2 linked regions of the Drosophila melanogaster genome follow. The protein of the gene in region 1 purifies or fractionates together with the protein of each later gene. This does not show direct contact. Each region holds a gene or a part of one and is shown on either strand. Other genes may lie near its edges.

Region 1 (18,677 bases):
GCGCATACGCAATGTGGCCACAGCTGCAATAGCTCAAGCAACAAACCTGATTCTATCAGGTCGATTTTTATTGTTTCTTTTGATTTCATGAATGTGCTATGCAGAGGAATAAAAATTCATTGATTTTTTTATAATTATCTTGGTCATTATTTATATATATTCTTGTGTCAAGCCATTTTGTTTTTATGCCATTTGCGCATTGCATTTTCAAATTGACTTAATGACAAGTGTCAGCTTAGGGAAAGTGTGTGTTTTTTTTTAGAAAAGTCAAGGACCCGAAATGTGTGACAGTTGTTTATGAACATTTTGGCTGGTATTTATATGTCAACAGACGATATGATTGGAGAAGTAAAGGAGGTGTGGCGTTGAAGAAAACTCTTTGTGATTTCGCTAAGAAGGTATTACGTAGAAAGGATTAAGTTGAATTCTATTCATATATTTGAAAGAAAATATATATTAACAACATAAACATCCCGTGCTATTTCGAAATCAAGCGAAAAAACTTGTAGATCCCATGCCCAATTCGAACCTCATGTTTTGAGTTCCTTTGCACTTGCGGAAATTCCAAAATGCTGTCAATAATTTCGAGGCAAATGTTTTGCAAAATGGAACAAGCCATATACTAGATGCCAAAATTATTTTTAATGAGCGTATTGTTATTGTTGGTAATTTGGCTTCAGATCCGGCCAACGGCTGCTCAAAAACTGTCAAAAGGCGCGCAGCAAATTTATTTTATTTATTTTCGATGTTATTTCTACGCGACTTTCCAAAAAGTCTGCACTTTCTGCTCTGGTAGTGGCGTCTCATTTTGGCCAATGGGACAAAATATTTCGCTATATGTACATACATATATCCAAAAGCACAAATACACGCCCACCAATCTATATCCATTTGTCAGATATGCTCAAACTGCGTGTGTATGGATGCTTGCAGAACACTAAGTATTTCATCTATATCCCAATTCGTGGACGGGCCAACGGTTTTAGTTGAGCCAAAGGCTTTCACCAGTTAATAGCACAAAATTGTGTCTTTCCCCAGCGAACAAAAAAACCAAGGTAAATCCGGTAGAGAAGTGAAGTGACCTGAAGACCCCAGACGAATGATAAAAAATTGTGGGAGTTAACAATTCGAATTCAAGTGTGCCGTGTTCATAAATATTTCCACACCAGAGATCTTTTCCATTTTTTTTTTTCGTTTGGAACTGGTCCAATCTATAAAACTGGAATTATTTCAATCTATATAGACATGCGGTTCTTTGACTGCTCTATCAGAAAATCAAAGAGCACAGAAATATCAAATAGATATAGCCAGACGACGACGAAAGCAAAGAAAAATTTAATATTTTCCATATGGCTTTGATATCTGTCGACTTTATATAAAATTTTTTTTTACTTATACCATTGAATTTTATTTGATTAGATTATTTTAAAACAAAACAATATGTGTTCCGCGAAAATTTATTGCCGCCTTTTTTATGTTTATATGAAGATAAACTTCTCACGCGCCAAATAAAAAATATTTCGTATATAAGTAATTCGAAAATAGGGAAAACTATTTAAATCTTTCCGTTCTAACCGAATAATAAATAAATATTTTATTTGCAGCAAATTCAATCAAGATGAGCGAAGCCCGCAACTTGTTCACCACCTTTGGCATCCTGGCCATCCTGCTTTTCTTCCTCTACCTCATCTATGCCGTATTGTAAAATGTTTCCGGCAAGTAGATGGTCCTTAGGGCAGGACCAAAGGTAAGATAAAGATTTAGCTTATAAATACAATAATATGGGAAAAATCTAAATCTAAAATCGTAGTAAAAGTAAAATTTGTTTCAATGCACACAATTTCGATTGGGTAAATGGGGTACCCATTGAATTTAATCGAGATAAATCCGCATCAATCACGAACCTTGAAATGGTAATTGAGGCCAAAATGTGCCATAAACTCAATGAGGACTACGTGATTATTCAAGATTCTTTCAATATTTAAAAACGTTTTAAGGCTTGGCTAGATGTACACGTTTTCAGCCTAAAGTAAATAAATATGTTAATCAAACACACGACTGGAGAGGAAAACATCTTTCCCAACGAAAAAACCAAAAAAGAAATAAACAAAACATTTTTCAAATGACAAGGTCCAGTCGGAATAAGCAATTTGTCTAGGTGCAGTCCAGCAGATGAATAATGTTCAAAGAACACAGAAAGTTGGCTAGAATCGCATGGAATTCGAAATCATATATATATATTTCTAATATGCAGACCGATCTACATACTCGTACACACATATGTAGATATACAGATCTAGAAAATATTTGTGCCGCGTCAAAAATATTACCAACAACTGGACTCACATACAACCAAATAGCCGGTGATATACACGGTATACATATATAAATATAAATGAATTTTTTATATATCGTCTATCTAATCGGATCAACATATGTATGTGGATGGGTGCGTGCGCCCAGGCAATGGCCATAATTCCAAGCGCTGGCCAACTTTTTGTGGAGAAGTAGAATTCAGATCGGGAAATTCAGTTATTGCGCGCCTTTAGCTACGAACGGTTGGAAATCCTCCAAGCAATTAAGAAAACCCAATCCCACAAGTGTGTGATTTGCGCCTGTCGATCGATCAATCGCATACCTAATTCCGTATTATCCCTTTAGCCAGCAGCCAAATCGAATCAATCAAAATGAATGAGGCAAAAAGTTTGTTCACCACCTTCCTCATCCTGGCCTTCCTGCTGTTCCTGCTCTATGCCTTCTACGAAGCCGCCTTCTAGGCCCACAGCCTCAAGTCACCCATGACCATCACCAACCACCACCCACCAACCACCCATCAGGATAGCTTACATGTTGAATTTCAATTCCAAGCCGCCGGCCATGCCATCATCTTGTGGTCCGGTGGAGCTTCTAGGACCCTACGCGTTTAAGATGTTTAGCATTTAATGGATTTCTACTAGTAACCTAAGCCAGGTGAGCACGAACACCACCCCATCCACCCCCTGCCAATTAAATCAATTATCAAACACACACATCAAACAAATTAACGAAACACTCCCTCAACACTCCCTACCCAAGAAGAAAAAAAAAACATAAACCTTGAATACATTTTTTGGCAGCCATTTGGCTCGCTCGCGTTAATAAATAGATTTTCCGTTTCTATTTTTTAACGACAAGATTTCGACATGGCCCACTAAACACCTTCCTGTCGTCACAGCCCCCCGTCATTTGGGAGCATTAAAAATCATTTTCATATGGCATTTTCCAAATGTCGCAACTTTGTGATTCAAGATTATTTTCGCCCGAAAAATCACAAAAATGTTCAAAGCGACAGTTTTTTATGGCCTGAATTTATGATTGGCTAAGGTGGAAATTATAATTAATTTTCATTAAATGTTTTTGAATATCACAAGCGCTGCTAATAAATATTCGAGTATAGATTGCTATTTTCAAAAAAAAAAAATCCGATGCTGCTTTTTCGCAATCCCTCCATAAGTTATTTCAAAGAACCTAAAATAAATCTCTAAGAAGCTTATGTTCTTCGAAACAAACAAATGCCAGCTATTGTTTATGCCAATGTGGCCACTAGAACCAACAAAAAAAAAAACGAAAATAATACGTTTTATCAATTGCAGCGACTTTGCGTCAGACAAAAATGATTCTTCTTTTGCAATCAATAAATCGAACAGTGCTATTAAATAAATTTCTCAAATAAATTCTCATCTAATGCATATTGCAGATGACGTCAATGCCACCAGTTGCCAAAATCGAAGGCTCGGCGATCAGGATGAGCACTTTGATGGGTAACCCCTGCCATGTGGTAAGTACCATTTATTCGGATCCCCTGGGATGCGCTTCAATATACATATTTATACGTTTGTTTTTTTTCCCAGTGCTCTGCCACATTTCATTCATCTTTGAGGCGCTGCAGGATCGATTTATTTTGAAAACTGTGCTGCCGGCCTTGGCGTCATCTGCTCTAATCATAAATATAGTTTTGTGATCTTTTTTTATTATTTTTGTTCGGCAATGGAATCTACTTAGTTTGCAATTCATAGACCATGATGTACAGTATAAGCAAATTAAGAACAACATCAGCAATCAATGTGCACCACCGATATTATTTCATTGTTAAACAGCCACGTTTATTTCGCACTCGTACATATTAAGACATGCATAATGTGTAACTGCATTTTACTCGACTTTTCTTAAATAACTTGTGAATAACAACCGCAAAGAACAGCAACAACAAACTGCAGGAATAAAAACACAAAAAACCAAACTATTTATTTCCTTTTTATTTTGTGTTTGAAACTAGATGGTACGTGTAATATTAAAAAAATCAATTGAGTGATATTTAAATTATGTATTTTACATAAGTTCATACAAATGTAGATTGACTTTTTGGGTAGATTTGAGGACTATTATTATTTCAGGCATACTTTTAGGCTTGTTCCAAACTTAAATCGGTAAAAATACTATTTTAAGTATTGCTGTGTTTTTTCATAAAAAACTACAAAGTACGCAAATATTTTTGGAATTTAAGCCAAAAAGCAGAAGGTAAGTGTTTAAAAAAGACATATGAAAACGGTATTTATAAAATTTTAAAAAATACAATGACATTTCTCCAAGACTATTTTGTGTAACTGATTGTTTTGAAACGGATTAAAGAGTTTTATTTAAAGAACATTTTTCTTCAAGTTTATAATTAACTAATAACAACGAAAACTCAATTTATTTTAGTGGACCCAATTAAAACTTCTGCCGACAGAAAGGTGTAATTTAACTTGCATAGTCTAAGTTTCCATTCAAAATTTAAATTCATGTATTTGTGTGCAGTTCTTCGAGAGATCTTAAAAGTACTTTATCTTTATTTGCATGTGGCATATGCATGTGCAAATTGAGGCCTTTAACAACTGGACAACAAGTTAAAAAAACAAACAAAACATAAATGAACGGTATAGTCGACTTTGAAATACCTGTTACTCAGCTAGAGAACTTGTTTCGAAATGTTTTGGGCATATCTTTAGACATTTTCAATGCAAATAATAATATTACAAAAAACACTTTTCATAAGTGTAGACGTCACAGTTTTGGGTGGCCCGTGGGCGTGGCAATCCTCTGAAGCAAAGGCACTACATGGTTGTTCTTAACTTTTAAGGTTTTATAGTTTACAGTGTTTATACGGACGGGCAGACGAACATGACTAGATCAACTGCTACTATCTGTTAAAAAACGAATCTAGTACACCCTTTTTTTCTACGAGTAACGGCTATACAGTCTATAATACAAGCTAAAAGTGCGAGCAATGATGCGGATACCCAGTCATCGCTGGTCTTCTGGCGGCTTCCGACTGCAGTTGGCCACTTTGCCATTTTGTCGGTCAGTAGTTTCGCGCGCTGGCCAACCGGTTTCACGGCTAAAACCGTCCGAAAGCCAACCCCCTCCACTCCTTGGCCAAATTGCAGCTCTTATGCAATCCGGCAGTGCATTTTGGGAATTGATTTAGCCAGCCGGTTTTGCGAATGTGCCTTTTATCTTTTGTTTTATCTGTTGTTTTATATTTTGTATTTTTTCATGGCTTTGTGTGTTTTTTTTTTTTTCTAGTTAATAGTTTAAGCCTTATGACTAAGAACCAAATATTTACATGACTCCTAACCTAGCTTAACAACCTAAGTAAGCTTCAGTTTCTTTTGCTTTTGCTCGAGGGCCTCGATTCTCAGTCGTTTGAACAGTTGGTGTCCCAAGTATGTGCGGATCGGCAGGGGAGCCAATTTCATAATGGCATACTGTAAAATAAAAGATTTTAATTAATAAGGTAAGATTTTAAGGCGTTAAGAAACTTTAAATCAGGGAATTAAGTGGTATTGCATCTTGAAAAAAATCCCTAATCGCCAAATTACTAACCTGAATGCCATGGGTCCAGAAACCGTTGGTCTCGCTCGTTTTTCCCAGTGTAAATACGGCGGACCGGGCAAAAGTGTATGCGTTCGGGAAAAACAGACCTCCCTGCATTACCCGATCGGTGTAGGCATTCATTTTGGTCACCACAAAGTTGGGCATCACCAGCTGCACGTGGATATTGTGCTCCGCCACCTCCAGTTCCAGGGCCTTGGAGAAGTAGGTGACAAACTTCTTGCTCGCAGCATAGACGGTCATGTTGGGCAGTGGCTGGAGCTCAGAGGAGGATCCCAGATTGACAATGGCGCCCTTTCGGCGACCAATCATCTGGGGCAGGATCTTGCGGGTGAGCATGGTAACCGATCCCATGTTGACGGTAAGAAGGTTCCAAAGAAGATCCTCTGAGACCAGGTCCAGACTCTCGGGGTGCTCATACATCATGCCCACGTTGTTGACTATATGAATAAATTAATAATAATTCGTATTACAACCATAACGGTTCAAGCAAGGCAATAATGGCAACACCATATTTATAACAGCTCATATCAAATGGCAGTGGCTTTAAATTACGCTGGCCAAGATCCAATGTCAACTCTTATCAGCCAAACATTTTATTAATGCCGCCTTGAGAAGTTCGCAAGGTTGTCGAAATGTAAATTGCTGAAGCGTTTATGAGTCTCGTTGGCCGAATAAAAGTAAAACCCCCAACAACAGCGCTTCGCCATCGTACTTGAACATCGCCTAAGCCACTCTTCGCCTCGCCAATAGACCAAAAAAAAAAAGAGTCATTATAATTGCACGCAATTATCATTGTTTGACATTGGCAGCCGCGCAAGAAAAATAGTCACAAAATATAAAGCGTAAGTAAGCAGCTGCTGCTGTTGACAATGATGAATGTGTGAATGATACAATATCGTATAATAAAAACGCTAATATCTGTAGTAAGTGCCAAATGTTGTTAATGTTTGATTTGAATATAAATATCGAATCATAATTATTTACCCAAAATGCCAACGTCTATGCCCGCCAGTTCCTTTTCGATCTGATCGTACACCTCACGTCCCTTGGCGAAATCCGCTGCAATCCACTTGGTCTTCACTTTGTACTGGCTCTCTGCGAAATAAAAAAAACGTGTTCTAAATATATAAAACCAAGTACTAAGCAACACTTACCAATCTCATTGGTAACCGCAATGAGCTTCTCCTTCGTCCGCGAGATGAGCACCAGGTTGATACCCTGGCGAGCCAGCTCCCTGGCGTACTCCTTGCCAATGCCATCGGTGGCTCCAGTCACCACTAAGTGAAAGGAATCGAAGGAAAACGTGATGAGTACAGGCACAGGTTGCCGAAAGGGAACCACATTTTTTCAATTTTGCATGCAGACAAAAAAACACGAAATATTGAAGACTACACTATACAACAAGCTTTAGAATTTGTTACGAAAATGTATGTATAGTAGTTTCGTTGTTATTGAGTATTAAGTATTATTTGTGTAAGTGTAGATTAGGTTTATATTTAATATATAATTATTAATTATTAAAGTTATTAGAGTCTATAAGTTTTGGCTTTCCAAAGCTAGCTGCATTTTTATGGTATTATGGTATAATAATTTAGTATGAGGACTTGAATCCATGTTAAACTAAACTATTTACTTTCCAAGACCCATTTCGTCACTTTTTGTTGTGTACCTATAGTTTTAGCAACTGAATAATGCCACGACCTCCTTGAAAGACCTTTTCGAAACTAGCATTTGCCTGCTAATTAGCCCACTGCATTCGGCTGAGCCTCTTTAAATCACATCGCCACATCGGTTGTTGGTTGTCGAAACGTCAGCAAATATCATGAATGGAATCGGCCGCAAAGAAGCGATTAGAAGCAAACCGGCTAGAGTGGCAATTGCTGCAATGTTGCCACAGGCAGCTGGTTTATTGGTTGCCAAATATTTGTGCAACGGAAACGTGAAACACGGCAGCAAAACTTGGCAATCGATTGTTGCGCTTGCGTGTTGCCCGAAAATTATGACTGCTATAGTTTGGCAAAGATTTTGCACTTTGATTGGTGGGCAATAAAAGCAGTTGTATAAAATCCATAATTCAATTTGGAAAATTGTAACGATCTCACACCTAAGGTCACCCATTAATTAAGCAATAAACTCAAGAAGCGATAGTTAAATTTATAACTGTTTGACTACGAAGAGCAGCACGAGACTCTAGTCAATGGAATCGAATTAATTAGTTAATAAAGCAAAAACAAAGCGATCGCAATGTGCGAAACAAGCGAGAAAATCGCAAGCCGGTTTACGAGTTGAATGACTTTGTCTGGTCCATAAATGAAATTGTAAACAAATCAAGTTGTTTGAATAATTTAGTTATTGGATGCCAAATTATAATGAATCAGCAGACAATTTGAAAATAAATTATATTTATTTTATTTTATTTAGGGATTTGTGGAATAAGTTAAACCTTTTTTAATTCATAATATTGAACTTAACAATTGAACATAAATTGTATTGGATAATTTAGCAAGAATATCTTTTATAGTCTGATATTATTTTTTATGATTCACAAATATGTGAATTCATTTAATATCTAAGCTTAACTAAAAATAACCATCAGCAATACGCTCAATAACACTCAGATAAGAAATACAATTTTGTTCATTTCGGTGGTATAAATAATAATGGAAATTCATAATTGTAACCGGTTTCTTATCTTATCATAAATGGATTTTGTAACCGCTTTTCCCAAACCTGATAACTTTAGATTCTATCGCTCAACGATTTATTTGATCATAAACTTGGTAATGTAGTACATGATTAACGTATAAATCAATAATTTAATTTAGAACACAAAATTCATGTGCTTCAACGCTCAAATTTATAAGGCTAACATGTAAAGAAAGTCAATATACTCTCATTAAAGCCTAATTTATTTTGTGAAATTATTCGAATTTATAGAATTATTAGGCAAATCGTGATATATAACTATTATGGGGACCTGAGATAGCTGATGTCATTCAATTCTGAGAAAAGCTGGATATGCTGCCTGCATATAGCAAAAACACTCCTTAAGAAAATAGGTAAACAATTTGCATTTGCGACAGTGAATCAACCGAAAACGCATACCTTAAATATTGACAGACCCCTGAGGTTAAAGTATGCAAATACGGGATTGAATAACATGGAAACATTCGGTGAATAAAGCGAAACTCATGGATATAATGGGCCTTGCGATCGAAACACTCACCTGCCCACTGTCCGAACTTATCCACCAATGTCCTTGGCAAGTGGGGCTGGAAGTAGGGTTCCAGGACGGCCTTGATTATGCTGACCAATGACTTCAGGTTGTCGTACAGAAACACACCGATGGTGAGCAGTCCTACGAGGTAGATGGCCGCCGAGATCAGCTGCCAAATGAACGCCATCTTCAGCAGGGTGTAAATGCTCACTTCCAGAACTGGCTGCATGGTTAAGAGAGTGCTCTTTAAATACTCCAAATAGGCCGATTTTCGGTTGATATTGTGGAACTTGTTCTTATCACTAACACGACCGGGCTGATTATTTATTGCTCCGTAGAGAATTACTATTGTACCGACATGCGTATAATCGCCCGACTCTCGCACTATCGCGCTGTCTGTCTGCCACTTTTTTCCGGGGGCACAAGTTGCAGGTTTGAGCGCCGATCACGCACTGAAAACTTGGAGTCGCGACTTCGCTTTTTCGGCCTTTCGGTTTCGGATTTTCAGTTTCGGATCTGGTCTTCAACAAGCAACAGTTGTAAAATGAATGAATATCAGCGACTTAAAGCGGAAAGGCCACTGCAGTTGGGGCTCTTTTCCGCGGTTTTTACTCAGCTCTTTGTCGGTTGATTATTTCATAAAATTGTAAACTTCATTTTGTTGCCTTTTACTGCGGCCTGTAGGTGTTGAAAATCTACGTGTCTGGGTGCCGGGTGAATTATTTGACTCTTAATTGCCGCTAAAGAAATGACCCTCTTACCATCTCGAATTACTCGGTATTTTCACTAGCCAGTCGGTCAGTTGTCGTAGTTTTGAAATTTTTGCTAAGTGCATAATCGGCTTACTAGTGGTGTAGAACTAATTGCAAACAATTAGGCGAAAGATGCGTTAAATTGTCTTTTGTCATGCAATGACCCCTGTCATCTGAGACAGTTTATTTGTACAGATATTCATCTACCTGTTTTTCCTTTTGCATGTGGCTAAATACTCTAGGAGTGATTTAGTTTTGGAAAAATAATTACTGCATTAAAATATGACAAGCTTACTATGAAACTTACTCTTTCTTTTACTTACATATTTTTTAATTTATACATGATAATTACATATTCAACACAGCTCCAAAACGTTGTTATCTATTGTATTTAATTTATCTGTTTCCCTAACAAATACATTTTATGGCTTCTGGATTTTTCACAGATAATTGCATGAAGTTGTTTTTACATGCTCTGTCTTTATTTAATAAGACTGTATAATGCATTTTCCTTCACTATCTTTTACAACACCATAAGTTGCGCTTATCAGCATGGCAAAAAGCATTTCCCTACAAGCGAGAAAAAAAACGTATTAGTGCACTTTTGTGACACAACAAAAAAAAAAAAAAAAATAACATTGCAACAAAGTATTAAACGCGACTTCTTTCGCAAAGTATTCAAAATAATGGTAATCGATGGTAATTTGGGCAAATGTCTAACTAATGCATGTAGCAATTAAGTAAACTTTGGATGATGATAGTATTACAGGTAAATGACAATAGGAAATGTCCCAAAAACCACTAATGGGTGAAAAACTAATGAGAATTCTGAATTGTGATTAATGGCGTTTTATTCAAAAGTCTAATCATTTTTTTTATGGCATGCTAAATCAAATTTTTATTGCCATCTATATCATAATATTACGTGTGTCAGTGAAAAGGTCATTCTGGTCATCGCCCAAAAAAATTCAATTTCCACTTGTTGCTCAATTGTAAATGCCGAAATACTTTCATTAGATAAATAAACAGCCCTTTTACTTAATTTAAAGCAAGGTTCCACTATCCGAGTAAAAAAGCATTTATTTGGAAACGATTTTTGAACTTACATGCTGTCAGCGAACAAAACAGTACGAGTTTTCAAACGCTATAAATATAAATCGATATTGTATGAGTGAAGGGCTATTAGTAACCTCCTGCCAAGCCGAATATTTATTTCAGACTGACGGGAAAAGTTCAAAGAGGAAGTCCACAAGCTTTTCCCAAACGTTCTAAATAGTAAATAGTGTTGTCGTAATAGCCGTTTTTAAGCTAAATTGGGTTTTATCATGCTACGTCTTCTGTGCCCACAATTCCTAAATAACACATGCAATTATTTTACTTACAACTTGTTCTAAATTATCGAAAGTTTTTAACGGTATAAAACCCCACAAAAATAGAAAGTTTATTAAGCCAATATTTAAACTTGAAAATTTGTGACTTAGCAAAGTCACGAACCAATACCAACCAATACATGAACCCGTCAATAAGTGTAATATATTTTATTTTCAGCATAACATATTCTCAAAAATTTAAAATATTATTTCCACTGTTAAAAACTGCCGTAAACTCTAAGGTATTTATTTTGCCAAATATTTACATGGCTGCTAGGAACCTAAGAAAGTTTTTGGTTTTTCAGTCTGTGCTCCATGGCCTCGATTCTCATTCGTTTAAAGAGTTGGTATCCGAAGTAAGTACGAATATCCATGGGAGCCAACTTCATGAAGGCGTACTGTAATTAAAGAAGGTACATTTATTAAATAGAATTTACTCGTATGGTTAGTTTACCCCTTAGATAAATTATCTGGGGAACTATTATTTTTAGTATATTAAATTGGATTTATTACAGCTGTAAGACTACGCACCTGTAATCCATGAACCCAGAAACCGTTGGTCTCGCTCGTCTTTCCCAGTGTAAAGACTGCGGACCGGGCATAGGAATAAGCGTTGGGGAAAAGCAGTCCTCCTTGCCTCACTTTATCGGAATAGGAATTCATATTGGTGGCCACAAAGGCTGGCATAACCAACTGCACATGGATATTGTGTTCGGCCACCTCATATTCTAAACCTTTAGTAAAATGGGTAACGAACTTCTTGGTAGCCGCATAAGCAGTCAAATTGGGATGGGGCTGGAGTTCGGAGGAGGATCCGAGGTTAACAATTGCTCCCTTTCGACGACTAATCATCTGGGGCAGGATCTTGCGGGTGAGCATGGTAACCGATCCCACGTTGACGGTGAGAAGGTCCCACAACATGTCCTCCGATACCTTGTCAAGGCTTTCCGGGTCGTGAATCGTGCCCACATTGTTGACTGTTAAAATGAAAGGCATTTAATTTTTTTAACAATCAAATAATCGTATCTTCGTAAGCAGTAAACTATAAACTATATGTTAATGACCAGTATATTTGTTATATATATTAATCATGTATTTCTATGCCAATTCACATATTTACCCAAAATTCCAACTTCGATTCCATTCAGTTCCTTTTCGATATGAGCGTACACCTCGCGTCCCTTTGCAAAGTCCGCAACAATCCACTTGATTTTCACATTATATTGGCTCCCTAAATAATCGTTTCGAAATGGAATAAAACACTTTTATCTTTTAGTTGAATAACATTGCCTACCAATCTCGTTGGTGACTGCAATCAGCTTTTCCTCTTTCCGCGAAACGAGCACCAGGTTAAGACCCTGACGAGCCAACTCCCTGGCATATTCCTTTCCGATTCCATCGGTCGCACCGGTCACCACTTAAATTAGATAAATAAATTTAGTTTTTGTTAGATTTTAGATTTATTACATAGATTTATATATTATATATATATTAATATATTTAAATCTCCACAACCTGAAACGGATTAAATATTTTATAGTGCTATATTATCGCTATTGGAAACCAGAAAAGCCCCAATCGATAGATAAATTTAATGAAAACTACTACTCATGCTGACAATTCAAATTGTGATCTAGAGTCACAATGATTGAGATATTTTTAATCTGTTCTAATAAGGTCAAAAAGCCGAGTCCGTAATTAATTTTGATCCATTTTCTAGTTCTTTTCTTTAGTACCGTCACACTTTCATCGTGTGCCTCGTCACAAAGTGGACGTCAACCGCGGTTATCAGTTGGAAATCGGAAAATATCGAAAGATAAGTAAGTTCATGCTGACAACGGTAGTTTAAACAGAAAGTCAGAATGATTAGCACATTGGTTTCTTATCGAAAAATATATTTAAGGCAATAAATTTCCTTCACTGGTTGGTTAAACAACTATCATATTACAAATTTTCAAAAATACTGTCCAATCTTTTTAAGACTAAAAAGTCCATAAGTTATAATTTATTTTATAATAAGAAAATATTTTTCTATTTATTTTTCAACTATTATGACTGCTATAGTTTGGCAAAGATTTTGCACTTTGTGATTGGTGAGCAATAAAAGCAGTTGTATAAAATCCATAATTCAATTTGGTAAATTGTAGCGATCTCACACCTAAGGTCACCCATTAATTAAGCAATAAACTCAAGAAGCGATAGTTAAATTTATAACTGTTTGACCACGAAGAGCAGCACGAGACTCTAGTCAATGAAAGCGAATTAATTAGTTAATAAAGCAAAAACAAAGCGATCGCAATGTGCGAAACAAACGAGAAAATCGCAAGCCGGTTTACGAGTTGAATGACTTTGTCTGGTCCATAAATGAAATTGTAAACAAATCAAGTTGTTTGAATAATTTAGTTATTGGATGCCAAATTATAATGAATCAGCAGACAATTTGAAAATAAATTATATTTATTTTATTTTATTTAGGGATTTGTGGAATAAGTTAAACCTTTTTTAATTCATAATATTGAACTTAACAATTGAACATAAATTGTATTGGATAATTTAGCAAGAATATCTTTTATAGTCTGATATTATTTTTTATGATTCACAAATATGTGAATTCATTTAATATCTAAGCTTAACTAAAAATAACCATCAGCAATACGCTCAATAACACTCAGATAAGAAATACAATTTTGTTCATTTCGTTGGTATAAATAATAATGGAAATTCATAATTGTAACGGGTTTCTTATCTTATCATAAATGGATTTTGTAACCGCTTTTCCCAAACCCGGTAACTATAGATTCTATCGCTCAACAATTAATTTGATCATAAACTTGGTAATGTAGTACATGAGGTGAAATTAACGTATAAATCGATAATTTAATTTATCATAAAAAAATATATATGCTCAAATTATTATTACTCAAATTTATTATGCTAACATGTAAAGAAAGTCAATATACTCTCATTAAAGCCTAATTTATATTGAAATTATTGGCATTTAAAGAATTATCAGGCAAATCGTGATATATAGCTATTATGGGGACCTGAGATAGCTGTTGTCATTCAATTCTGAGAAAAGCTGGATGCTGCCTGGATATAGCAAAAACACTCCTTAAGAAATAAGGTAAACAATTTGCATTCGCGACAGTGAATCAACCGAAAACACATGCCTCAAATATTGACAGACCCCTGGGGTTAAAGTATGCAAATACCGGATTGAATAACATGGAAACATTCGGTGAATAAAGCGAAACTCATGGATATAATGGGCCTTGCGATCGAAACACTCACCTGCCCAATTTCCGAATTTCTCCGCCAAAGTCTTTGGCAAATTCGGCCTGAAGAACGGTTCCACAACAGACTTGATAATGCTGAACAAGGACTTTAAGTTTTCGTAGAGATAAGCGACGATGCTAAGAGAACCCACTATGTAGATTCCTGTAGAAATCACTTGCAAAATAAGAGCCATGTTTCACTTAATATAATTTCTTCTTTTAAGAACTGACTGCGTGCCGAAAAGAGTTCTCTTTATATAGGAACGAATAAGCGAACTTTTGACTGGGTGATAAGAGCGTACTCAAGAGATTGTGTACACGGCCATGACTAAACTGGCTTTAAATGATAAGGCCAGTGCAGTTGGAAGGCGATATTTATTTCTCTTATTACCACAAAATGCAGTCTGTCTCTTTAACAATTAACTATTTTCTTTATTAAATTAAAAAAAAAAAATTTATTTAAAATCATATGTGAATAGAATAGTAATAAGTACATCGAATAGTAATAGAATAGAAATAAGTACATAAGTACATCGAAGTCTATATGTTTTTTGTTCCCATAGTACAATAAAAGTCTAATTTTGCAACACAGTGTAATATAAATTGCAAACTTTTTAGCGAAGCTTCAAACCAGTTGTCGGCTCAAAAACCCGCCAAAAGGTGTGCTATATTTTGTTGTCTAAGTATATGTTTAAATTTTAATTTTATTTATTTTTTTATAATGGGATTTGAAGCAAATTTTGTCAATTGAGACAGTTTATTTGTACAGATAGTCCTCTACCTGTTTTTCCTTTTGCATTTAGCTAAATACTCTAGGAGTGATTTTGGAAAAATAATTACTGCGCTAAAATATGACAAGCTTGCTATGAAACTTATTTTTTTTTACTTACATATTTTTTAATTTATAAATGATAATTGCATATTCAACACAGCTCTAATACGTTGTTATCTATTTAATTTATCTGTTTCAAGAACAAATACATTTTATGGCTTCTAGATTTTTCACAGATAATTGCATGAAGTTGTTTTTACATGCTCTGCCTTTATTTAATAAAACTGTATAATGCATTTTCCTTCACTATCTTTTACAACACCATAAGTTGCGCTTATCAGCATGGCAAAAAGCATTTCCCTACAAGCAAGCAAAAAAACAGTGTGACACAACAAAAACATAACATTTATTTGGAAACGATTTTTGAACTTACATGCTGTCAGCGAACAAAACAGTACGAGTTTTCAAACGCTATAAATATAAATCGATATTGTATGAGTGGAAGGGCTATTAGTAACCTCCTGCCAAGCCGAATATTTATTTCAGACTGACGGGAAAAGTTCAAAGAGGAAGTCCACAAGCTTTTCTCAAACGTTCTAAATAGTAAATAGTTTTGTTGTATTAGCCGTTTTTAAGCTAAATCGAGTTTTATTATGCTACGTCTTCTGTAGCCACGAACCAATAGCAACCAATACATGAACCCGTCAATAAGTGTAATATATTTTATTTTCATCATAACATATTCTCAAAAATTTAAAATATTATTTCCACTGTTACAAACTGCGTAAACTCTAAGGTATTTATTTTGCCAAATATTTACATGGCTGCTAGGAACCTAAGAAAGTTTTTGGTTTTTCAGTCTGTGCTCCATGGCCTCGATTCTCATTCGCTTAAAGAGTTGGTATACAAAGTAAGTACGAATCTCCATGGGAAACAACTTCATGAGGGCGTACTGTAATTAAAGAAGGTACATTTATTAATCAGAAAGTTAGATTTATTAGATTTATTATATTAGATTTATTTCAGCTGTAAGACTACGCACCTGTAATCCATGAACCCAGAAACCGTTGGTCTCGCTCGTCTTTCCCAGTGTAAAGACTGCGGACCGGGCATAGGAATAAGCGTTGGGGAAAAGCAGTCCTCCTTGCCTCACTTTATCGGAATAGGAATTCATATTGGTGGCCACAAAGGCTGGCATAACCAACTGCACATGGATATTGTGTTCGGCCACCTCATATTCTAAACCTTTAGTAAAATGGGTAACGAACTTCTTGGTAGCCGCATAAGCAGTCAAATTGGGATGGGGCTGGAGTTCGGAGGAGGATCCGAGGTTAACAATTGCTCCCTTTCGACGACTAATCATCTGGGGCAGGATCTTGCGGGTGAGCATGGTAACCGATCCCACGTTGACGGTGAGAAGGTCCCACAACATGTCCTCCGATACCTTGTCAAGGCTTTCCGGGTCGTGAATCGTGCCCACATTGTTGACTGTTAAAATGAAAGGCATTTAATTTTTTTAACAATCAAATAATCGTATCTTCGTAAGCAGTAAACTATAAACTATATGTTAATGACCAGTATATTTGTTATATATATTAATCATGTATTTCTATGCCAATTCACATATTTACCCAAAATTCCAACTTCGATTCCATTCAGTTCCTTTTCGATATGAGCGTACACCTCGCGTCCCTTTGCAAAGTCCGCAACAATCCACTTGATTTTCACATTATATTGGCTCCCTAAATAATCGTTTCGAAATGGAATAAAACACTTTTATCTTTTAGTTGAATAACATTGCCTACCAATCTCGTTGGTGACTGCAATCAGCTTTTCCTCTTTCCGCGAAACGAGCACCAGGTTAAGACCCTGACGAGCCAACTCCCTGGCATATTCCTTTCCGATTCCATCGGTCGCACCGGTCACCACTTAAATTAGATAAATAAATTAAGTTTTTTTAGACATTTGGAATTTACATATACGGGTAAACATATATATGTATATATTTATATACTTTAATCTATACAACCTGAAACAGATGAAATATTCTATAGTGCTATATTATCGTTCAATTCTCAATTAATGAGAATCGATTTATGGAATTCTTTTGCACCCTTGGGGATCAATTTTTTGCTGCGGGCAACTACAACGCCCAACTAGTAAATCCTAAACAGCTGCAATATACTGCAATTATCCATCCGATAAATAGGTTGAACTTTCAATCACCTGGGAAACCCACATACTGACCTACAGACCCCCGAAAACTACCAGATCTGATTGATTTTGCGATCGTAAGAAAAATTCCTTTAGTGCTTCTTAACGCTGTAACACTGAAGATCTGTCATCCGAAAACTCAACCGTACTCTGAAACATTTTTCGGCACCCAGAAATTAAAGAAAGGCCGCGTCATTACAACATTAGCCTCAAACTTGTTAAAGTATAAAGTGTATTGAAAATTCTGTAAAGACATTTGAGTCGATAATAACAAAAGCTGTTAGTATCTGCAACACCTCAAATGAATTTTAAATCGAGAACTTTGTGCTAGAAAAACGACGTCTCCGACGAGAGTGGCAAACCCAAAGATCACCAGCCACAAAGTAACGGCTGAAGACGGCAACACGCGGCCAAAAGAAATATCCTAAGAATGAGAAGGATAACGAACATCGCAGGTATACTGAGAAACTATCGCCGACAAACACAAGGCAGTCATTGTGGAAGGCAAATCTTTGCCTAAGTATGCCTATGGAAGCAGAGATGCCTATTCGGGATAACACTGGGAAACGGGCCCGTAGTGATGCAGAAAAGGCAAATGTATTTGCTGCTCATCTGCAAAAGGTGTTTCAGCCGAACCCACCGTCAATTGGCTTTACGCTCCCGCACGTCTCCGATCCACTGATCCATGACTTAATATCTCCAAAAATAATTATGGAGCTACCAAACTGTGCTGTACGATGTATCAGCATATTTTTTAATGCCATAGCTAAAAACAATTATTTGCCCATCCAATGGAAAAAATCCACCATAATTATGAATTCAGTGCCAGGAAAAGATAGAACGCAGCCATCATTCTACAGACCAATGAGTCTTCTTTCATGTATCTCTAAGATCTTTGAAAAATTACTCATCATTCGTATACAAGCACACCTACAAACTCGTAACACAGTTCCATTGTATCAATTTGGATTACGTCAAAATCATGGAACATCAATATCAACAGAGATCATAACTTCTTTTGAGCACAAGGAATATTGCACAGCCGTATTCAAGCAATCGACCGAGTGTGGTTGGGAGGGCCTTATGTATAAAATAAAAACACTCCTTTAACCAAATACACACAAGCTGCTTAAGTCTTATCTTTTAAAAAAAAAAGTTTGC
Region 2 (14,793 bases), on another chromosome or scaffold:
GGTGTTTGTTTCGTTCTCCAATTTCAACATCTGTAGCGGTTTCTCCTTGCTGTTGATCTTGTAGATGAAGGAGAACATCAGCGAGTACAAGTTTAACATGTTCAGGATCATAATGCTGCAAAGTGAGGGCGCTTCAGTTATATACAATTATTTATCATTAGCACTGGTTTTTTTATTACCGAGCCAATTGCAAACGCAGCTGCTGCCTGGGATGCCAGTTCTCGAACAGACCCAGTGCCTCGAATATCATGGGCAGGAAGAAGGAGAGCAGGGTCATGGTCACGTTCACCGCATTGCGACTCAGCCAGTTGTCATGCTTGGCCAAATCCTCAGAGCTGTAAATAAAAAGAATTACAGAAGAAAGCAATTTTGAAATAATTCATATAAATGTTTAATTTCTCATTTAAATAAATATTTATCAACGAATTTAAATCAGTATTTTTCGGTGCATATTTCATCGCCATTTCCCCAATCCACTTACTGATTAACCAGCAGCACGACCGTAGCGCCCGACAAGCCCAGCAGCCCCATCACCAGTATATTGACCAGTATCCTCTGGAGTATGACCCGCCAGCTGAAAGGACATGGCGTATCGATTATGGTAAGTAAATAGCTTCAGTTTGGCAGCGACTTACTTGCGATTATCCTTCTTTTTCTCCGCTTCCTCCAGCAGTGCCTCCTTGAAGCCCACGACCACGGATGCGATGCGATTGTGCGCCGTTTCCGCGTGTCCTGTGGGAGATGCAAAACTTGTGATGATGGCAGCTCGTTGCGGAACCAACGCCGGCCACTTACCAATCATAAAGTCCCAGCCGGTGAAGAGCTTCCACGAGAAGACGCACTCGTCGTCCTTCGAGGAAAGTTTTGAGTTGCGCGAGTTTTCCGCCATTCTGTCGATGGATCAAAAGTGGAAATTCAGTCATAATTTGTTCTGAAATACCCGCAATTCCCACAATTTGAATCCCGTATAGCATTGCGATTGAATTAATCCACGCACGTTGAGCACGTGACCCGCAAAAGTGGCTATATGGAAAGGCCAGTGCCGGCTGCTCACTGTTGACATTGCTGCTTTGTTCAATTACGAAATCAACATAATGCCGACAAAGCCATTAAAGCGTGTCAGACGCCCAATGCTCAAAATGGCGTTTTGCCGTTTCCGTTTCCTGTCCCGCCCCTCACTGCCAGCCCCCTTCGAGGCACGTGCTCTGTTGTGTGCGTGCGTAAATCATAATGGCCAATGCTTTCTCCTTTGATTATTTTGAGGCGTCGAAACTTTTTCAGACCCCCAGACACGCCTCGTGGCCAAGATTTGTATTATTTAATCAGAGCTTTAGTTTTGTTTAATTAATTAACGAGCAGTCTGACATTTAGTTTACTTTTTGCGGCTTCGATGACCAAGTATTTAATGAAGTGCCTACCCAACACACTGGGAACCATATCCATACCCATGACCCCTTGACCCCTATTTCTTTGTGCTCCCACCATACTCACTTCCTCAACGTGGCCACAAAGCTGTAGATGTAGACCAGAACGGCGGTAAGGAAATAGGCTAAGGGAAGCTTATATCCGGACGTGCTAATGCCGGATGTGCTTGAATAGTATCTGGGGGATAGGAAAACAAGAGGAGGGATGATATTGGGATATTGCCAGCAATTAATAGAGCTCTCATAACTAATTTATAATTAAGATGAACAAATAAATATTTACATAAGAACATAATTTTCTTCCAAAGTTATGTTATGTTAAAAAGGCAAATGAATTAAAGGAATTATTATTGATTTATTTTTAAACAGACTGACTTGAAAGGGAAGCTTAGCCCTTGTCCAACAAAAAACCAGTCTGGCTTACCCATAAAACATAGGTGAATATTTCAGGTATCCCTCGAACTCCCAGAACGTGAAAAGATTGCCGGCCACCCGAGCCTCCGGGTCGGACATCCTTTTCCTGGGATCCGTTTCGCCGTGCTTTGTGGCAAAGTACTGGAACAAAGCCAAGCGGAAACATAATTGTGTGTAAAGTGTGTGGCAAACGAATTGGCTACTTCTGAGGACACTCACCTCGGGGCCAATGACGAAGGCGACCAGCGGAATGGCAATCATGATATTGACCCACATAAGCCATCGCAGGAATGTAAAGTAGGAGGCTACGCCGGAGCCGAAGTGTGATTCGATTTCCTTGATGCGCAGCTCCCAGGGAATGAGGACGGTAAGGAAGCTGGCCGTCTCACGTTTCCAGTGTCGCCATCGCTGCAGAAAATGTCGGATGCAAGAAAGGATTTATTTCTAGAAAGGAATGGCAGTCGGCAAGTTCGCATTTTAATTGGTCTCCCAGCACAGCGAGAATGCCATGGGGCTCACATAGCTCGGTGAACTATGCGAACAGTGGGGATTTATTGAATGTCCGTCCCGACCGGAAAGTGGCCCATAAATTGTGTAAACATTAATATTTTTTTGCATGGCTTGGGGGCCTTTCGCCTTGTGCTCGTTGCATTTCGCATTCTGCAGGCGTTTCCTCCAAAAAAAAAAAAAATAATAATAAAGAAGGGGGTTACAAAATCACTTACTGCCGCCATTAAAATTTTAAACCTCGCCCACAAGTCTCTGGTGCTGCGTGACATGGCGAAGCGCTCCTGGAGCGCGCCCTCGTGGCGTGCCACATATGTTTTGGCCTGTCAACACATACAAGGAGCCGCAGGATCCGCAAAGTCCAAACATCATTAAAAATTCCAGGGTGTAGCGAAAGATGGGAGATAAAGAATGAAATCGAAAAGTTTGGCTCAGCATTTGATGAGTGTTCGGTGAGGTTTGCAAGGAAGGAAGGATAGGCGGTCGTAACATTTTCAACGACCTGACAAGCGGCGTGAAAACGAACGCGCCCAGTTTTTGGGCAAATCCCCCATTCAATTCCACTCCCATCTGAAAACCATGGATACCCACCTGCCGCACCAACTTGAGCTTCTTGCGGATGGGCCATGGCTGTAGCTTCACCGACTGTATGACCTCCTTGTGCAGGCGGATGTTCTCAAAGATTTGCTCTTGCGTTGACTCCTGATTGGTGCCCTCCTCTGCAAAGTAAAACGAAAGTCAAAGCAAGGCAAACAGATTACACATACGCCCCGTATGCCACGCCATCAAAACGGTCCGCACGTAGCATGAAAAATTACAGAAAACAGGCCCCCAGACGTTGATTAGCTTGCCACTTGAGGATGACCGAGAAGGACCGGGGAGCAGTCCGCTCGTTAACTAAACGAAATCTGCTCTGGACACTTATGGGCCACGGACCACAGACTTGCCTGAACTTGTCGTATAGACACTGGAGCGTCGTCGCTCCACACTGTCCAGAACGTGATCCATGGGACTGGATGCACGTCGCGAACTCCGGCTGCCGCGTTTGCCCCGATAGCCGCGCACACTGGCACGTCTCTGCATTATTGCCGATACGGAAATTGTGTAGCTCTCCTCATCGTCAATGTCGCCACCGCCGCCATCCTCGTCGAATCCGATTCCAGGCGAACGCTGGTGGGCAAAGTGAGGCTCCTGGTGGCAACTCTCGGCGTCGCTGCTCTGGTTTTGCAATGGGAAATCTGGAGTGGCAGTGGTGTTTGGTCATTAGTTGGTTACTTTATATTAAACACAGACAGAAAAGATTACTCTGCATTAAAACTGCTAACCAAAATGTTTAAATGCTTTTATTTAGATAACAAAATTTAATGCAAAATATTAAAAAAAAAAATTGTTGGTAATTTATAGAATCAATAATGCTAGAAACAAATAAAGATATTTAACTTATTAAATATTAAATGTTTAAATAAAATACCTAAACAAGCGTATATAACAACTAATAAAAAACTATAGTTTGGTTTGCTAGCTATTATATATATTTAACCAGATATACGTTACGCACCGTTCAGTTCGTAGGATCTGTGGTCCTCCTGTGACGCAGCTCTTTAAAGGAAGTTAATAGAAACGCAGAGACCGAGATAGTGATGGTCCAAGGTATCCCTTTAAAGGACTCACCTCCTGCCTCGCTGTCCTTTGTAGAATTCCCTCTTGGCATCGGCGCTGCTCTGCATTTGCCAGCCACCTCTATCCAAGTCGCATGGCGGTGCCCAGGTCACAGAGAGTTGATGAGGCGATGTGACTCCCGAGTTGTTCTACGAATGGATGGGCAGCAGCTTAACTCAACTAATTTTCAAGTGCTGTTCCGGGACAGCTAATTACTCAAATCACACTGGTACTCTTTGCGTGCGGAATGACCTTCGCTGTTAAGTGCTTATTTATTAATTTCACTGCTGTGCAATTTATGTGTTACATCTCTTCTAGTGCCCTCAAAGAAAATCCCTTTAATGGACAAGCTAGCACTTTTTGCTCCCGATTTAGCCAGTTATAAGCCGAAGCGCTTTGGAGCAGCCTTGTGCGCAGACTGAACGGCTTAGCTGGCTGGCAGGGCTACCAAGGCACAAAATGACCATCATCCAAAGGGACGGCGACCACGAAGGCACCTCACACAGACAGGTGAAACTTAAATTTTTCTAATAATGAATGAATATGAATGAAGAACGAACCACCAACACCCCCCGCCCCGCCCCGCACGATGGGCAACTTATCAAAGCCAAAACGTGCCCAAAACCCACACAAGCGCACACACTCTAAAGGAATTTACATGGACATGCGGCAGGACATTGCGACTAGGTGGCTGAAGGGGATCGGGAGTCCGGGTCCGAGTGGCTGACTTCCTCGCCCTGTTGGAACGAAGACGAATGAGTGTAAAAATTGCCAACGGCATGTGATAACAACGCCGTATCCGGGCGTAACCAGCCAGGACTTCGAATGTCCATTTAGATGGCGCTTGTGTGTATGTGATATTGAGTCACCTTGTATTCTTGGCCCGGCCATGTAAATGAAAATCAAACATGCAAGGGTTGATAAAGAAAATCGCGAAATTCTAGGTTTTTCCCGGACTTTATCCTCTTGCCTGTTTCCCCCATTTTCCGGTGTGTGTGTGTTAGCTTGTGTGCTTTTCTGGGGGAGCGCCCACTATTGAAATATATGTTTTGGCGCTCTCCACTGTGTTCTCTGTGTTTTGCCTTTCACTTTCTCTGATTTCACTTTCGTTCCTTTTAATTAAATGGATTTCTCGGCCGGCTTTAATTAACATCAAATTTATCTTTACGCCCCCGTGCACGTGTAGCAATAATGTTCGGCGATTATGGGTTCATTACCCGCTGTGCCGGTGGCCTAGGCCTAAATGTTTACAATTTTCCAGGTTTAAGGTAACATTTGAGCCAAAGGTTCAATGCCGCCATGGACCCGATGACCTAGTAAAAAAGAAAAAGAAAAGGAAAGCACACACCTTTAGGCCTAAGTGGATTTCCATGTTCGCCTGCAGTTTTCGCGACTTGGCCATAAATCTAGAGCTCCTAACATGGAGGCGTTGGTCACAGAATGTGGGTCAACCAACGATTTACAATATATTAATTTAAGGCCACATCGAAAAGTAGAAGCGAAAGTAACAAAAAATTCAAAGGATCAATCAGTTGATGCGACACACGCTGCTCTCGCTCTTCGCTCTTGTCCAATTGCCATGGAACTCCTCATGACGCAAACCCATGGCCTGAGCCTCCGACGTCGTGGAATCCGTAGTGCTGGCCAGATGGAGACGCTCCGAAGCGAAGCTATCCAAGCTGGTGGAGTGCTTACAAGGATGGATTTTGGTCATGAACTCCCTTTGGCTGCAGCCTGCATTCTCCTGATTGTTCCGGATGATCTCACGGGCAAAACGGGCCAATAACTTCTGTTTGTGGTGACGCTTGCTGAGTGGTCCATGGGCACAGTTCTCTCGGATCCAGCGACGAGCCTCCCGACATCCTAGATATATACTCTGGTTGCTAAACGTCTTTGTATCCAACATGAAGCCACGATTGCCCAGCAGTCCGAAGCCCAGATCGAAAATATTGCGACCCAGGTTGAGCGGATTTGGTCCGTCCTTGGACTGGAACTTATTCGGACCGACGGCATCCATAGGCTCCTTGGTTTCCTGGTAGAATCGGCGATCCTCCGGCGTGCAATACGTCCAGGGTTTGAAACTCATCGTGTAATGATCCTTCATCTCAAAGTCGACGGGCAGACTATCATTGAAGTTAACCTGATCGATCGAGACCAGTCTGCCATTGTGATGGGTTACTTGATAGGTAACGCCCAAGGAATCAGGAATTTGTATGGTGCCTTTTCCGTGGAAACGATTGTTGAGAAACTCTCCCGTGTAGCATGTCCCATCCGGATAAATGTAGACACCCATCTCCTGCATGCCCAACTCATCACTGGGACCAACGTATCTGGATCCAGTCAACAGAATATCAACCTGGGTAATGCTTGAAGATTTTGTTGTCTTCTGCTCCATGATTTTTAGAAAGCTTATTTACACTGTATACCAAAAATAACAATTTTAAAGTTGAGTAAATGTTCGTTGAAATGGGTGTTCAAATAATTTACTATATATTATTTGAGATAACAAGTTTTGCCGAACTAATATGATGCCACTAATGGCAATTTACTTAAATAATTATAACTTAAATGAGTAACGCCCCTCAAGATAATCAAAGAAATTTCACTAATGTTCGCTAATTACCCAGTGAATATCTATATAAACTCGTCAGTTTAACTAGGCAGTAACAACCTTCGCTTGAAATCATGAAGCTATTGGTAGTTTTCTTGGGTCTCACTCTCGTCGCAGCAGGAAGTGCTAAGAAGGATTCCGAGGATCCTGATCACATTATAACCAATGGAAGCCCCGCTTATGAAGGTCAGGCACCCTATGTGGTGGGCATGGCCTTTGGACAGAGCAACATCTGGTGCAGTGGCACTATTATAGGCGACACCTGGATCCTTACATCCGCTCAGTGTCTAACGGGCAGTTCCGGAGTGACCATCTACTTTGGAGCCACCCGGCTGAGTCAGGCCCAGTTTACGGTGACAGTGGGAACTAGTGAGTACGTTACGGGTAATCAACATCTCGCCCTGGTTCGAGTTCCTCGAGTCGGATTCAGCAACCGGGTCAACCGGGTGGCCCTTCCATCACTGAGAAATCGATCCCAGCGCTACGAGAACTGGTGGGCAAATGTCTGTGGATGGGGAGTGACCACCTTCAGCAATGGACTCACCGATGCGCTGCAATGCGTCGACCTTCAGATAATGTCCAATAACGAGTGTATCGCCTTCTACGGATCCACCACCGTCTCCGATCAGATCCTGTGCACCCGTACGCCCAGCGGCAGATCCACTTGCTTTGGCGATGCCGGCAGCCCCCTGATCACCAAACAGGATTCCACCGTGGTGGGCATTTCCGCATTTGTGGCCTCCAACGGGTGCACCTTGGGATTGCCCGCTGGATTTGCTAGGATCACCAGCGCACTGGATTGGATCCATCAAAGGACTGGAATCGCCTACTAATGGGTCAAATAGTAGCAACATTTAATAAAAAATGTCCAATACCTGCATAGATATTTTATTGCTTATAAGGTCTTTTCTACTTTAAAAAAAAATTGGCTAATATACAGCAAAGTCCGGTGGGTTGTACTGAATACTAATGCAAAATATACTTAAAATGAATATGATCCTACTGACCATTAAACTATTAACAAATACTACGAGTATTCTAAGAAACTTTAAAAACGTTGAATTTTATTTTTCAGATTACAAAGTAATTGCATTCATTTTCTCTCCGAGCTCTTAAGCTTAAATTTTAAATTGAAAAAAACATATATAAAGACATTGATCGGCGGATCTACAACTCGAATATGGACCGGGTCATGTCCATGTAGCTATTGCGGCGTATTAGATTAGATTGCACCACATTTATGTTATCCGCCGTCCGTTTCCTCATCATGTTGTTGGCCGAGCGGTATGATTCCTCAAAGTTTAGGACCAGTTCATCCTCGCCAAAGCTGTCCGTCTGGCAGCTGGAGGGTCCACCCGACTGCGGATTGCGTACATCTGAGGTGCTCGACCATCGGCGTGGTCTCTTCACCGTCTCCATTTTGGCGCAAGGATGCACGCGCTTGAACTCCATTTGATCCTTCTGCTGTTTATCCAACATCCCAGCATAGGCACGCACACACATCTCCGTCTCCCAGGCGGGATCGTCGACGGGCATGGGACGCCTTGGAATGTTCTCCAGCGGCTCATTCGGCTGTCCACGTTTTTTGGTCAACTTGTGGAAGTATCGCTCCCGATCCACTTGTCCATTGGGTGCATATATGGCCGTGCTTCGCAACTGTGCTCGTTCCGTTGCCAAATTGTTGGCTATAATGCGGCGACAGAAGTCGGATGGTGGCTCAATTATACGCGATGTTCTCGCCTTCCTGCAATTCTTCTTAATCCAATCCTTATCTTGCGGGCAGCTCACGTACATGAATTGATGGAGCGGACTCGGACGGTCCGTCAACCAGCAGGTCTTACTATTGAACAGACCCTCCTCCACATCATAGCAATGTTCGGGAATATTTCTGGGTTGCATTTTCGATGTAAGAAAGGCAGTGGGGCCAACCGGCTGTTGGCCATAACGACGCTCGGCATGATAACGCCGATCCTTGGGCGTCAGGTAATCCCATTCATCGCACTGCAAGACCATGCCATTAAATCTGCCATCCACATGCAGACCGTCGGAAAACCACATGTCCTCCACTGTCACCAGGCGACCATGCTCGAACTCACCCTTAACCGTAAAGCGGTACGGCTGGGCGAGTCGCAAATGGCCATAGCCATGGAACTGACCCTGATGGAACCTTCCTCGATACTCGCTCCCATCCGGATAGCGGTAGCTTCCAAATCCGTCCATCACATTCACCAATCTATCCCAGGCGCCCTCATAACTGCTGCGCGTGATGAAGTGCCTCTGCTGGGTCTCCGCGTTCAGCTGCGACATTTTCTCAACTTTTTTTGTTTCTCTGTGTTTGGGGTGTGGGGACGAATTTTGTGTGTGTAGTCGAAGCAACCAAACCAACTCGAACGTGCGAACTGACAAACTTCTGACCCACTTGGAATGGCCTGGCTTGTTGAGATTACGCATCAGCTTTATGACTAAATAAATGTTTGCCCCACTCGACCGATCCCATCCCCAATTTCCCGCTTCCTCCACTGACCGAGCCCCGAGTCCAGGGTGTGCCCATCCGCATCCACTCGGTTTTGGCCAATGTCGCATGTCTGGCCTAATGAACACTGGGATACCCTTGTGTGGCAATGTGAAGTTGGCTGTGCTATTTGCTGTGCTACCTGCTGCCTAAGTAGCCAAGTGATTTAACTTGTTTATTAACTACCATAAAGTAGAGACCTCCGGTGATCTGAGATTTTGCATGCATATGTAGAGTGAGTTTGCCAAATTATACTAATGAGCTTTAAAGTTAGACCAGGAAAACCACACATGATATGCGTTCAGTTCATTAGCAATGTTTACAACTTAGAGGAGATAAGAGTCGAGGCTTGGTTAAGCAAAAGAGAGACAGTACTTAAATTATGCAAATGTACAGAATTTTTAATGCAGTTAAATTGAAAATTCATTTTTAAGAGCCTCAAAACCAATGCTCGAAAAATTCTAAGTTCTAAGTTTTACTAAGCCTGTCAAGCGAAACTTCTGCATTGACCTAAGAATAGCTCCACCTGTCCACCGATGGTTGTAAAACAAAATGATTTTAACAGCCAACCGGGTCGAGCTGCATTGCTTAACCCGGCCAGAAGCGAAAGCCAGTTAAGTGCGATTGGTGTTTATGGCTATTGGCTGTGGCAGCGGCACTTGCTGTTCCCACCTATCCTCCTGGTCCGCTCTCGGATATAGCCATTCCGTAGACCGTGTCGTCGTTGTTGGTCAGGCCAAATCGTAAGCACTCCCGAATGGGCCGTAAATCATGCTCACTTACCTCACTGTTGGCGCCAGTGGCCACGTTGCTGGTGTTCCCATTGCTGCTGCTGCTGCCCACGCATCGGAAATCGACGGAACCACCTGATGAGCGTCGCGGTTTGCCGATGTCCAGTCGCAGGATACCTGGCTTGGGTCGTCGTGGAGCCGGGGCCGGTGGACTCCGCAAGGATTCTCCATTGCTTAGCCCCGAAGTTCCGGCTGCAGCTGCTGGTTCCTCGTCGTTCTGCATGGCCAAAAAGGAGCGCACACTCACGTTGCGAATCGCGATTATTCACCGCGCACACACGACCGCCGTGCAGCGCCAACGCGGACTGACTACATCCGTGTCCTGGCCAGGACTTTGAAGCAACAATTACGCGCGCAGCCACGGGCGCTGGAAATAAAATGTGAATTAAACGCGCCACCCACGCGATAAGTGACAATGAATGTGCCATGTGAGTGTGCGGTGTCCGTTTCTCTGACTCCAGCGAGTCCAGCGAGTCCTGCTAGTTTGGCCACAGGATGACGATGACGTTGGACAGGACACGCGGCACTTTCAACTGCTTCTCCTGGCTGTCACATGACACAAAGTGAACTTCCTGCTTTCAGGGTCACATCGCGGCCTACCTCTGTGTAATTATGTCTGCCGCTGCCCCAAAAAGTGTCAACAGCTCGGCCCCGAAAACACAAAATATCGCATGTCGCATTCGCCATGTGAGCGGGGAAAAAAAGGCCATTTTTCATTTTGACTTATACTTTCACTTTTCATTTTCATACATTTTTGCGCCTTCCATTAGTGCGCTGCGTTGTGTCCTTAGTGTCCTTAATTATGAGCGCACAAAAGGTGCCTTCACTTTGTTTTCTAATTGTGTTACTCCGTAATTGGTAGGATGAGTCTTTTTCCTACTCAATAAAAAGTTTAATTGCTATTTTATTTATACATTTATTATTTTTAATCTTGATATTATCTTAAGCTTCATCAATTCCCAGCAATGAATGACTTGACATTACCAACGACTGTTCTCTTCGAAGTACAACTAACCATAAATACCTACGAAAGCTGGGAATATATGTTTATCCCAGTGGGGGGTATTGCCAAGTCGAGCCCATGCTAGTTTGCGTAGATGATATCTCCTCCGCGCCCCGGCCACTTGGCCAGAATGCGCTTGTTAGTCGGCACAGCCGTTCCATACGAGCCAAGCCCTCCTGCTGCGAACTGGGCTCCTCCGGCGCCATGTCCTGGCACATCCTTGTCTGCTGGCCCCGCTGATATGCAATGCCTTTCTATTACATGCAAAGCGCGTTAAATTAATTGAACTGTAAAGTGTCAGCAGCAGCGGCGGCATTGGAAGTGGCAGGACCTGAATAAGGACATGTTGCCCAGCATGTTGCATTTAATTTTTATTATTTTCACTTTATTCTATTGCGTTGAACCAGAGCAACTTATATTTATTCAACTTGGTTAAAGGCTAGGCTAAAGTAGCTTATAAAAACTTTTCCTATTTGTCGCAATTGTTTGCGAAATGCATGAATGGATGTACGAGTATGTGTGATGTGTGAAGTGTTCGTGTGTTTCTGTGTCCTGTTTTTATGCTTAGTACAAATTTCAGTTTCAGTCTCAAAAATCGTTTTGCATAAATTAACTAAAACCATTTTACGTAAATTAATTTGTGTTTTTGTTCTGACATTTATAAATTTCGTACCTAAATTGCGAAAATGTCATAAAACCGTTAGGAAAATCGAGTTTTCATTGTAATGCCGCGCAATAAACGAAAGAGCTACCAAATAATGCAATAAAAACTCGACCGAGTTTGATGATGATTGAAAACCATTTGGCCGGCTTTAGCTTCACTCAAATTTAAATTGCAGAATTTCGTTCACCCCCATGATTGTCAGTGTTTCGCAGATATCTCTGCATATTCAACTATCCCTAACTGGCTATACTATCCCTAACTTAACCCATCAAGGGTGAAGTGCAATCAGTACAACACCTTTGCAGCTACCCACCTAAGTAGTATGTGTCTAGCTACCCTACGAACCCCGCTTTTTATAGCCAACAAATCCTCATAAATTTTGAGTAAATTGCTTATACGCCGCGTATGCCGCAAGTTCGGTTTGCATTTTCCCTCAGCAGCTGACTTAAATTTATAGAGTTACCCAAATAAAAAACGGGAAAAAAACGGGCAAGGAAGGGACTGCCAAGCGTAAAAGTAGAATCGATTTATGCATAAAAACGGTGGAGCTGGCTGAAATTTATGAATATCAAACATTTGATCTTTTTGGTACGGGGTGCACCGGAAAAGCTCCTTCCTGCGCATTCTGTTTTTCCCCGTTTTCACCGCCTTTTCTGTTGAATCTGCTGCTGTGGTACTGGCCCTTGTTTGCTTAGCTTAATAACCAGTTTTTCTCGTACACGAAAAGTTGGTCAAGTTAATGCTCTTTTGGCTTTTGGCAGTAGGTGTGTATGGTTGGCTACGTGACGTATGATTAATGTGCGTGGCTTGTTCGCCTAATGAATTGGCCACAAGATTCTCACCGTGTTTCCTTACTGGCCCAAATACTTCTATTCAGTTAATACTTAAATACACATTGAGCTTACGTTTTATGCTCACTAATTGACTTATGTCCTATGCCTGTTGCATGGCATCTCAATGAGCATGTCGTTCCGTTACGTTCCGTTTTGTTTCGTTTCGCTTCGTTTGGGTTAATTTGGTCCTTTAGTCTATTGGTTTTCATACTAGCTAGCTATGCCTATGCAGAAATTTATCAAAGCTACACTTAGGGCTATGCTAAAAACTCACTTAACAGCTAATAAACGCACACATTACGTGAATCCGAGGACGATGATGTGAACAAGGACCTCCTCAGAACGTTGTCACTTTGCCCAGCCGCATGCCGAGCAATTTACGACGCTTTTTGGCGCTCAGCTTTGTCCAAATGGTGCTGCTGCCCTCCACCAGCAGGAACTCATCGCATAAATCATCCGTCTCCTTTGCGATGCCGCCGTAGAAATGATCCTCCTGATACTTCTCCGAACGCGAATCGCCGGAAACGAAGCCGCTCTCCGGACGGGACAAGGATGCGGTGTGCCAGGGTAGTTGTTGGAACCATCGGGCCACTTTCGCCGTTGAGGATAGCTGCGGGAAATGGGAAATGGAAAATCGGTGGGTGTGGTAGCGTTAAGCGTGGTGGGGCAAATACGTTAAAGTCAGTGTGTAAATTTATGCAAATGAGTTATGTGCGCAAATTGCTGCCCACCAGCGAAATCCGTAGGCAACTGGGAAAGAGAAAAAAACTCGGAAGAAACTCAACGAATGCCAACTGCCGAGTGTAGAGTGAAAAATGGCGACACTTGTTTTTGCTTCTGTTCCTTGGGCCACGGCATCGTTTTTCATTTATCCAGGGAGGGAAATTCATACACTGACCGTCCCACGGGGCGGATGCTTAATGCGCTTAAAAGTGTGCTGCATGTTTTTGTGTCGGAAAAGTCATTAGGGAAATTGCCCAGTCTGGCGTTAACTTTCAATTATTAACGACAGTATATAGAGTATGAATATACATATAAACGACTGGAAACAAGTGCCAAGGGTTTTTACATAATTATGCGATTTTTATTATTATTTCTGGTTGTTTGCCGTTCATTTTTGCCGCCTATATTCCATATTCAAATGAATATTTGAAATTGTAATTTACACATAACTTTTCAGCCTGGCAACTAATTAATGCATTCCCCATGATTATTGCATTTTTGCGAATAAAGATTATGCGGGTCACGCATGAATTGAATTAAAATACAACAATTTACAAAAATAACAGTATCGAATTTAATCAGTTTAGACTAGACTCATTAGCTTAATCACTAGGTGTATAGATATAGTTTTTCATTTAGGGGAGAGAAAATACTTTCAAACGATTATTGCGAACTTGAGTAAGTTTCTTCGTTGCTGATATGCTAAGATTATGTTTCACAAATACTTTTACTTAAGGTTTATCGCTGCTGGCCCGGAAGCTAACCAAACTTTCGAGTATTATAAACTTTCGACTTTGGCACAGTTTTGAGCTAGAAGATATTGCTAAATAGATATACATTACATAGATATATTACACTTAAACGGACGTTGAGCTGGGCAAATAATTGGCACACTAAACGCCAGCGATGCGTTCTGCTAGGACACCTAAAATGCAAAACTAAAGTAGGCTTCCATTTCTCCTAAATTAATACTGTTGCACCCACTCATTCACTCGTTCCTCATGCACGCCCACTTCCACTTTTCGTATCCTTTAACCTATGACCTGGTCCACTGGGCGTTTCGAAGCCCTGCTCCTATTTGGTGGTGTGCCTGGCCCAGGTGGTCCTCTGCACCTGGCTCATCATCTGGCTGCGATTGGGCACCTTCTCGCTGGTGCTGCGTGTGATGAAACTGGGCGTGGCCGATAGCTTTCTTTGGTGACCCGCCTCATCGGTGACCCTCAGCAAAACCGTATTGAATCGCGTTTCCCGACTGCTGCTACTATTGCTATTGCTATTATTGTTGTGGTTCTGGTTGCCATTGCTGCTTCCAGGACTAATGTTGTTATTGCTGCTCCTCAAACGTGGCGAGGATGGGGAGTCCAGGGTGGAGGAGCTACGACTGGTATCCCGCGTGCTGGTCGATCCTCCACAGGCCAGTCCAGCCAGATTGCCATTGGACACCGCCGCCTTGAGTTGCTCCTCCAGATTATTCAGATTCTGCTCGATGCTCAGGCGTATATCCTCGTTCAAGGACGAACTCCCGGCAAAGGAATTCCGATTCATGGTGCCCAACGGTGAGGGGGTCAGTGTTCCCGTGGCTGCCGGTGAGGTTAGGAAATTGAAACCTCCGGCTCCGCCAGCATTGTTGTTTGGCGTGGCCGGTGTGCAGG

The links.
Region 2: the proteins of CG13284 (region 1) and CG3306 purify together in Drosophila melanogaster (affinity purification with mass spectrometry, with the first as the bait; one large-scale study listed by BioGRID). This does not show direct contact.

What each region holds. Positions count from the first base shown.
Region 1 is NT_033779.5:16,837,609-16,856,285, forward strand, and holds CG13284 (uncharacterized protein), read right to left. Parts: upstream 9,590-18,677; 5' UTR 9,363-9,589; coding exon 9,143-9,362; intron 7,194-9,142; coding exon 7,071-7,193; intron 7,012-7,070; coding exon 6,901-7,011; intron 6,354-6,900; coding exon 5,905-6,353; intron 5,787-5,904; coding exon 5,670-5,786; 3' UTR 4,739-5,669; downstream 1-4,738. Other genes in the region: SclA (sarcolamban A), read left to right, coding at 1,619-1,705; SclB (sarcolamban B), read left to right, coding at 2,688-2,777; CG31810 (uncharacterized protein), read right to left, coding at 11,537-11,653, 11,787-12,232, 12,376-12,486, 12,550-12,672, 14,547-14,724; CG31809 (uncharacterized protein), read right to left, coding at 16,138-16,254, 16,345-16,790, 16,934-17,044, 17,108-17,230.
Region 2 is NT_037436.4:9,593,202-9,607,994, reverse strand, and holds CG3306 (uncharacterized protein), read right to left. Parts: upstream 6,473-14,793; 5' UTR 6,400-6,472; coding exon 5,533-6,399; 3' UTR 5,447-5,532; downstream 1-5,446. Other genes in the region: CG3088 (uncharacterized protein), read left to right, coding at 6,690-7,448; CG3222 (uncharacterized protein), read right to left, coding at 7,783-8,922; Tmc (transmembrane channel-like), read right to left, coding at 1-115, 180-335, 482-574, 636-732, 796-890, 1,492-1,602, 1,849-1,979, 2,058-2,246 and 6 more; CG42673 (uncharacterized protein), read right to left, coding at 14,216-14,793.